Regions from separate parts of the Mus musculus genome. Here all the other regions are reported to be linked to region 2. The links are microRNA targets in miRTarBase. Many come from high-throughput screens and were not tested one by one. Region 2 holds a microRNA gene; each other region holds the end of a gene's coding sequence.
What was found. Region 2 holds the annotated microRNA mmu-miR-7013-3p (CCACACUUACUGUUGCCUCUUCCU, at 1,841-1,864, shown strand). A microRNA usually pairs through its seed, bases 2 to 8, with sites in the 3' UTR of a target mRNA and lowers its output. Matches are read on the target gene's strand: a 7mer-m8 pairs with bases 2 to 8, a 7mer-A1 pairs with bases 2 to 7 and ends in A, and an 8mer does both.

Region 1: the mRNA of Plet1 is a reported target of mmu-miR-7013-3p. Seed matches in the 3' UTR shown: 7mer-m8 at 2,116-2,122.
Region 3: the mRNA of Crem is a reported target of mmu-miR-7013-3p. The part of its 3' UTR that is shown has no 7-base or 8-base seed match.

What each region holds. Positions count from the first base shown.
Region 1 is chr9:50,504,349-50,507,348 of GRCm38, reverse strand. Plet1 (placenta expressed transcript 1) reads right to left here. Exons shown (of 4, transcript NM_029639.2): 4 at 1,710-3,000. The coding sequence ends at 2,804. Plet1os (placenta expressed transcript 1, opposite strand) reads left to right here and starts at 2,544. Exons shown (of 3, transcript NR_040714.2): 1 at 2,544-2,728.
Region 2 is chr3:95,002,373-95,005,522 of GRCm38, forward strand. Mir7013 (microRNA 7013) reads left to right here and starts at 1,796; the gene lies at 1,796-1,867. It overlaps Pi4kb (phosphatidylinositol 4-kinase beta), which reads left to right. Exons shown (of 11, transcript NM_175356.3): 9 at 1,868-2,000; 10 at 2,262-2,382. It also overlaps a transcript of Zfp687 not described here.
Region 3 is chr18:3,265,075-3,268,074 of GRCm38, forward strand. It overlaps Crem (cAMP responsive element modulator), which reads right to left. Exons shown (of 9, transcript NM_001110859.2): 9 at 1,280-2,658. The coding sequence ends at 2,514. Among named protein-coding and RNA genes, the nearest start is that of Crem, 61 kb to the right of the region's middle.

The DNA of each region.
Region 1 (3,000 bases), not on the chromosome of region 2:
AGGTATTGCACTGTAGCCCAGGGTATTCCATGTAGCCTACTCTGGCCTCAAGTTCATGGCAATCCCCTCGTTTTAGCCTTTGGAGTGCTGGGAACCTGGAGATGCATCTCCACCCCTGGCTTGGTGTAAGGCTTGAATGAGATGATCCATGTACAGTCTATACTTGTTCAGGGGCCGGGCAGGGCTACCAGTAAGCACTTGGTGAGAAAAGAGAAACCAAGGAACAAGAGGTTCCAAGTACTGGTCTCTCCACCACACCAGCCATAAAGATGGCAACACCAGCCAAAACTTTAAAAATTCTGCAATCTATTATCAACAACAACAGCAAAGAAGAAGCAAGCAAGCAAGCAAGCAAACAAACAAACAAACACAAAAACCAGCTATCGGGCAAAAATGCTAAATTTGGCATTTAACAGAATCTTTAAGGTCACTGGTTAACTGCTAAGAAATCAGGAAAGAAAACTCTGTGGCCACACAAAGAATGCAGTCTGCAGTTATATTCAGTGGCAGCAGTCAACACCAGCAGTTGTACAACTGAGAGAATCAGGTTTCCAGAGTCAAGATACTGTAATAGTCGGAACACCCAGTTTACAACAGAAATTTACAAAGGGAAAAAACTGAAGCAGACATTGTTCCCAAGGAAGACCAGCCACTGGGCCTAAGAGGCAAAGACTTGATGTCAACATCTTAACTATGTTCAAAGTGGGGACTGAAACAGCGACAAAGACCAGAAGCCAGGAAAATGTTTCTGCACACAGAATAGAGGTGGGCAGAGAGAGATTATAGAAAGACGCCAAATAGAACTTTTGAAGCTGGAAGGTGTAACAGGTAATATATATAATATATATAATAATAATATATAATGTTGAGGTTCACCTGCAGACTTGAGGAGGCAGGACAATTGGAGAGCTTGAAGAGAGGTCAGTTGAAATGATCTAGTTTGAGGAGCAGGAAAAAAAGAAAAAAAGAAAAAAAATGGTCTCTGGGATGCAAACGCACTGACATATTTATAGTTGGAGTTTCAGAAGGAGACAGAGAAGGAAGCTGAAAGAGCAAAGAAATGTGGATTGAAAATGACCAAAGTTTATGAAAGGCAAGACTGTCTCCATTCAGAAAACAACAGACTACCAGAAAAATCAAAGACACACGCCGAGAGGCTGCGTGATCAGGGCTACAGTTGACTCTGTAGTTACTGCTTCTGCCGTGAACGATACTGTCATCATTCCACACTCCAGGAAGCAGGGGTGGCTCCCATTTCAGCCAGCTACGGGGGGACGGGGGGACGGGGGGACGGGACGGGACTCAAATCCTGGTGTACATGTGGAAACCAAGCATCTGCAGCAGGACTGTGTTCCTGCCCAGCCTCTCCCCATCTCCGCGGCCTCTCTCTCCTTTCCTGCCTCCTTCCCTCCTCCCAGGGTCTTGCTATGTATCCCTCGAACTTCCTCGAAGACCAGACTGTGCCCAAACTTCCCATTAGTCCTTTCTCCAGCCTCCAGAGAGCTGGGGCAAAGGGAGGACTGCTGTGCCCAGGTATTAGCTCTGTGCTTAGGGGTTTCAGAAGCTCTCTGACCCCTCAGACTTATCTTTAAAAGTGGACAGAATAACCAGGCGACTCTCAAGATAGCACATTTTGGTGAGGCTTGCCCGTGAGGCACACATTAAAGCAGCTAACAGACTCAGCACAGAGAAGAGACTAATGTTATGCGGGACCTTATGCACACTGTGAGCTGGTCAGACTTTTGTCAGCGTGACACAGGCCAGGGTAATCTGGGAGGAGAGAATGTAAGCAGAGGGACATTTTCTTGATTAATGATTGAGCTGGGTGGTGCTCACCCCTGGGTCCTGGACGGTATAGAAAAGGAATTATTAAAGGAAAACTTTTATTTCTTATTACAGGCTTATTGTTGGAAATAACTTTTTTTTTTTGGTTTCACGTTGTACTATAAATATTACAAGCATTTTCTTTTTTGGCCCATTTCCTGGTATAAATTATCATCAAGGAAGAAATGACCAGCTTTGACTGGACAAAACAAAACTGAGATAAATTAACCTTGCATCTGTCCTTGAAAACACACACACACACACACACACACACACACACACACACACACACACACTTTTATTCCTAGTTCTAAAAACAAAGTTAGGTAACACTTTGTATTTTATCACTCATTAAGGGTTATCTTTCAATTTAGCACATTTCGGTATTCTTGTTCAATATATTGTTTATTTGACTTAGAAAAAAAAAGTCATGTGTCCTGTCATTGGCTTCTGAGGCACAGTTTTCATATACTTCCTTCAAAACCTACCGACTGGTCTGGGCACAGTGGAAATCTGCTAGTAGCCACAGGATGATCACTCATTTCTCTTTTTCCTACAGTCACATAAGTCACATAAGTCCTTTGCAACCTGAGTAGGTTTGGCCAGAAATCTGAAATCAGTTTGAAAGTAAAGAAGGATCATTCCCTCCCCACCCCCACACCCAGGAGGCTCATGGGAATACCTTTGGCAAGAAACACAAGTTCAGATTGGCTGTCAACAGGTTAAACTGAGAGTCAGAACTTCAGGTTACACGCAGGATGGATGGACTAAGTATTTACAAGAAGCGGAATTTGTGCCCTGAAAGATCCAGGCAAGCATTTGTATCCCTCAAGTGCACTAGTGTTGCAGGTCTGTGGTCCAAGGTGGTGGAGCTGCGGACTGAGGACATAAAACCTTCATTCGGGTATGTTTAAGCACTGGCCTGAAATGAGCTCGGGAGGATGACCTGGAGGTTGGAGATCTGCTTCCCCAGTTTTCTTTAGAAGAGGAGTTTACTAATGAGAAAAACAAGCAGGATATGGAGGGCACCTGCCAGGGGGCTGCCGAGAGTGCGGATGGCCAGGCTTTTGGCTGTGGTCTTGGCTGTGGTCACGGCTGTGGTATTGGCTGTGGTATTGGCTGTGGTCACGGCTGTGGTGTTGGCTGTGTCCTTGGCTGTAGTCTTGGCTGTGTTCA
Region 2 (3,150 bases):
GGATTTCTGAGTTCCGAGGCCAGCCTGGTCTACAAAGTGAGTTCCAAGACAGCCAGGGCTATACAGAGAAACCCTGTCTCGAAAAACCAAACCAAAACAAAACCCTCATGTCAAAAGGAGTCCCAAGGCAGCTTACGAGGTAGAAGCTAGGCCTGGCCAGGTAGTTAACAGGACAGAAACTGCCTCTCACCGGCTTTGAAACTTTGGGGTGGGGGTGGAGTCACCTGTTCTCTCTGCGTCTAGACATCTAGGATTGTGTGGGCGCTGCTACATTGTTAGTGCTTCCCCACAACTCAGGTGGGTCTTGAGCTCTCTCTTTCTACCTCTCCTCTTTCAGCCAGTCTGACCAACTTAGAGGTAGCCTTCAGCTGGGGCATGAATGCTTGGCCTAACAAAGCTTCTATTGATAGCAAAAAGACTGGTCATGCAGAATAGGCCAGGCCTCACATGCTTAGCATGCTAATTGTTCTTCCTACTGACATTAATGTGGGAATCACAAAGACCTGAGGTATCGTCCACTAACTCGTTTTCCCTACAGCTGGCCTGTAGTATACCATTCCTAAGGCTTTTTTATGTAAGTCATTTGCCCTCACAGTTTTAAAGTTTTTATCAGCAACCTGATGGCTCATTCATATGATTTTAGCACTTGGGAGACAGAGGCAGACTTGGGCTAGGGTACAGCATATCTTTAGGGGAGTGGAGAGGCTAAATAAATAACTTGAGTCCATAAAGTTATTACCATACATAAAATCATGAGTACCTGAGTTCAATCCCCAGAACCCGCATAAAAATCCTGGTGTGGCCAGGCATGGTGGTGCATGCCTTTAATCCTGGCACTTGGGAGGCAGAGGCAGGCGGATTTCTGAGTTTGAGGCCAGCCTGCTCTACAGAATGAGTTCCAAGACAGCCAGGGCTATACAGAGAAACCCTGTTTCAGAAAACAAAACAAAAAATCCTGGTGTGATGGCACACTTTAATACCAGATGGGGAAGCAGAAACCAAAGGATTTCCTGTGCAAGCTGCCCTAGGGATCCCAAGTTTAAAAAAAAAAAAAAAAAAAAAAAAAAAAAAAGCTACCAGGAACAATGCCTTACATTGACCTCTGGCCTTCACATACAAATACACCTGTGTTGACCCACATAAACTATTTGTTGCTCTCTACTGATGGGACTTTGGTTCTGCCATGGACTGATTAAGAATTAAAATAATCCCAGCACACAGGAGGTAGAGGCAGGTGACTGAGTTTGAGGTCAATTTGGTACTATATATGAGTATCAGACCATTTGAGGCTGCATAGTGAGACCCTATCTATCTTAAACTGAGTCTGAATGAGGGCCTTCCCTCATTCAGACAGCTAGCTGCTGGAGCCTCAGAGACCTTTTCTTCTTATCTGTGTGCTTACTACTTAAAGTCAGAGTCAAGTCTGAGTACTAGAAGTACAATTCGGGAGAAAATAGCATGCGTCAGTCTGGCCTCTGTATTTGAGACTGACCCTTAGTTTAGGATCTTCTAGCCTCTGCTTCCCAGGTGCTAGAGTTATAGGCATGTGACGTTATTCACACTCAGTTTATGTTGTGTTAGGGAACAAAGCTAGAAAAGAGCGTTATAGGCAACCACTCTACCGTCCTCAGCCTTTTGATAATCTTAAAACTATTTTTATTAAGCTGGTAATAACTGAATTTCATACCCCAGTCATTCTTCATAGTTTCCTAACTTCCTTTTGTTACTAGTTTTAGATCCTAGGAAATTGACCCAGACTTGTAAGCAACAGGAAACATGGCTGGGGCCTCCCCTGTTCGGTATGAAGAGGCCAGTGTTGTAGCTTGAGATCCAGCCTAAGCCACACTTACTGTTGCCTCTTCCTCAGGCACAACGGGAACATCCTTCTGGACGCAGAAGGTCACATCATCCACATCGACTTTGGCTTCATCCTTTCCAGCTCACCCCGAAACCTGGGCTTCGAGACATCAGCCTTTAAGCTGACCACAGAATTTGTGGATGTGAGTCAAAAAAGAGAGGTGCTTCCAAGGGTAACTGTGTTCTTCCTCTGAGAGGAGCTGATGGACTCCCCCAAATTAGGAACAGAACAGAAATGGCAATAAGTCAAGACGAGGCAGGATTGCCTGGGAGCTTATGAAAGAAAATGTGGAGATAGTGATAAGGAAATTTACCATGATTACCTTAAGAGAGGAAGCTCTGAGGCCTACAGAAAGGACCCACCAGAATTTCTCTGTGCACACAGACACTCTCCTTGCTTCCAGGTAATGGGTGGCCTGAACGGTGATATGTTCAACTACTACAAGATGCTCATGCTGCAAGGGCTGATTGCTGCTCGGAAGCACATGGACAAGGTGGTACAGATTGTGGAGATCATGCAGCAAGGTGTGGCTCAGGAGGGCCCTGGCCTGGGGGACTCAGGTTGGGTTGCCTGCACTTAGAACTTTTAGGAAGTTGAACTCCACCTCAAGACTTAGGTGGGGGAACATTTCTCAGGGGGTCTCCATTTCCCCTTTAAAACATTCTTCACCCTGGCAGAACTGGTTTTGGGGGTGGGGCAGGAGAAAAGGAACAGCAGAAAGCTCTTAGGTATCCTCATGGGGAAACAGCCACTTTCAGCCTCCTGGCTTTCCCATTCTCCCATTCAATTGTATTTCTCAGTCTTCTTCCTTCTCTGCTACTTCTACTCACTTCTCTCCCATCACACTTGGCCTGACTGACCTGACCTCGGCCACTACCACTTCCTACTAACCTCTGCTGCTCTCATTTTTCCTGCCTCTCTTTTCTTTCACTTTGCCTCTTCCTTGGTCCCTCAGTTTTTTTGCACAGGACTCCCTCCTCTTCCAGTTCCTCTGGGACCCTTCTATCCCCCCCACCCCAGATATTTACCCTACCTAAGCTGCCAGTCTCCTCCTCCCCATCCTTGCCCCTACCCCACAGGTTGCCGTCGTTGCTCGGGAGCATCTCTGTCTGGCCCCGTGGTGACGGTGGCCCAGGTCATCTGTGAGTGTCTGATCTAGCATAGGCAGAGGCCTGCAACCAGATAAGTGCAGGGCCCATTCCCAGAGGCTCTTCCCAGCCTTCCCTCTGGGCCCAAAGACATCTCTCCAATGCTTACTGGGGGAAGTTGTGGGCTGGCTTGCCTTTTCCTAT
Region 3 (3,000 bases), not on the chromosome of region 2:
TCTGAAAGAGCATCAAGTGCTTTTAACTCCTGAGACATCTCTCTAGTTCCTATGCTGGTGAGTTTTATAGATTTTTTTTAAGATTTATTTATTTATTATATGTAAATACACTGTGGCTGTCTTCAGACACACCAGAAGAGGGCGTCAGATCTTGTTACGGGTGGTTGTGAGCCACCATATGGTTGCTGGGATTTGACCTCATGACCTTCAGAAGAGCAGTCAGTGCTTTTACCCGTTGAGCCATCTCACCAGCCCTGCTGGTGAGTTTTAATTGTCAACTTGACACAGTCTAGATTCACCTGTGGAGAGAGTCACAATGAAATATTGTCCAGATGTGGTTGGCTTATGGGCTTATGTCTGTGGAAAGTTACCTTGATTCTGTTAATAGATACACACCATTCACTGGGTTTGAGTCTTGGATTGTGTAAGAAAATGAGCTGGTAACCAGGTATGCATAGTCATTTTCTCCCTGTCTCTCGGACTCTCTGTCCCTCTGTCTGTCTCTCTGTCTCTCTGTCTCTGTCTCTGTCTCTGTCTCTGTCTCTCTCTCTCTCTGTGTGTGTGTGTGTGTGTGTGTGTGTGTGTGTGTGTGTGTGTGTGTGTGACCAGCTATTTCAAATTCCTGTTGCCTTGACTTCCATGCTTTGATGGATTATCCAACCTGGAATTGTGAACTAAACTAAGCTCTTTCTATCCTAAGTTGTTTCTGTCAAGAGCATTTTATTGTGGCAACAGAAACAAAACCAGGACCTACATTTTAGAAGTTATAGGTAAGGAAAAGTTAAAGATAAAGAAATGGTAACTGGGTGCCAAACCACCTCCTACCCACTACCAGATCCACTATCAACCCTGTTGACAGTGAAGGAAGGTGGGCAGGTTCTTAACAAATCAGAGATCAGCCATAGGCAATGCAGCGACTATAGCCCACTGTCTAATCCGTACCTGCTGGTGAGAGAAAGATGACATAGCACAGGGTTAGGGATCCGAGCTTATACCTTGAGTCTTTTCCTTATAAAAACAACTATGGACGCTACTAGTAACAAAGCTATCACAATTGTAATGAATTTCATTTGAATGTTCTGGCATAAGGATATTTTATCATGGACCTGGAGAGATGGCTCCGTCATTTAGAACATGTGCTGCTCTTGCAGAATATCTGAGTTCAGTTCCCAACACCCATGTTGGAAGGCTCACAACTATCTATAACTCTAGCTCCAGGGGAGCTTTTGGCCTTCTTGGGAACCCACATTCACATACACATAGACATACACACAGGCAATTAAAAAGAAAGTAATATTTTATAAAAGAATACTTGATCAAACTGGATATTCTGGCCCACATCCGTAATCCAAGCACTCAGAAGGCTGAGGCAAGAGAACTGTGAGTTTAAGGCCAGCCTAAACCTACGTGACAAATGTACACAGCTATATTCCAAAGAGCAAAACAAAATTGATCCAAGTTGTAAAATCAAAAATGACATCTTGGGTTGTTTTTTAAACGTTAACATTCCTGAGGTTGCAAGAATTCACAATGGAGGGTCATCAGCAGAAACTCTCCAGACGATCAGCAAGAAGCCTAGTACAGCACAAAGGCTAACCTCTAACCTCTTCCCCTGGACCCCATTCCATTTGCAGAGCTTGAGGTCTTCCCTTTCAACTGAACATGTAGCATGCCAGGCAAGTGCTCCACACTGAACTCTGCTCCTAGAGCCCTGCAGTTGTCCTCTAATGAAATGGCCCAGTATTTGCAAGGCTGCTGATCCAGTGTAGCAATAAATTCATACTTGTGGAACTCATTCCAGATAATGAAAATATGTTGTCTCTTTCATTAAATAACAGCAAAGCAGCACAAACTTTTGTAGAAATTCACATACTACATACATAGTAGGAAGCTGTAGTAAATGCTCAGATACTTAAATAAATACCAAATAGTACAAAGAGCAACCAACATGGTTCTATTTAAAACTGTCTTCAACTGTGGCACCCAAGGACAGCAATACAATACTTTCTTTACAAAGTGACGATTATAAAAATCTATAAATGCATAAATTCATTTGTAGGCTATTCTCACGTAGTCATGTCATCAGGATACACTTCCTTTCATTCTTTCCTGAGGTATCTCTATGGGTTGATTTTATCTTACTACTGGAGAGATGCACTGCCTTTGATCACCCTTTCCTAAAATGATTCTTAAAACCTGCAAAATTTTTATTGCATAGGACACTATTCATGACAGAGAGACTGGGAACTGTAAATATGTTGCACTGGAACAAGTCTTACAAATACTTCATTTTAAGAATTTGTTACATACATTTTTTACAGTTTGTCTCTTCTAAAAAATTGACCTTAGAGGTAAGAGCAAATTAAATACAACAAAGCATCTTAGGAATGTTAGTTTTAGAAAGTTAGATGAATGATACAAAGGAAAAAGCCATAATTCTTGCCGGCTATATATTGTATTGCATTCAAAAGCAACTGTACATGCTGTAATCAGTTCATAGTTAAATATTTCTACTAATCTGTTTTGGGAGAGCAAATGTCTTTCAAAGTTTCAAGCTCCTCTATAAGCTTCTTGTTCTGAACTTCCAGCACTGCGACTCGACTCTCAAGACACTTCACATACTCTTTCTTTCGACGTCGACATTCTTTAGCAGCTTCCCTGAAAAAAGTAGAAGCAGAAGGGCAAACAAAACATATGTTGCATGCTATTGGCAATAGAGCAAGCTTGGTAATGTGAGGGGAGCTGCATTCCAACCCATGGAACAGTATTCCCAATTCACACTCTACAGCAGACTGTATTCTTAAGCAAGGGTTAAGAGACCCATCTACAAGTCCACATGGCCATTATGAGGATGCTGCATCGCCTGCCCCGATTAGAGTTCACAGTCAACAAGGTCCAAATCAAACACAGTTACTCTGCTTTATGGCAATAAAGGTCTTTGAGGGCCTTGAGTTCCTCAATGAGGGTCTTGTTTTGATTTTCAAGCACAGCCACACGATT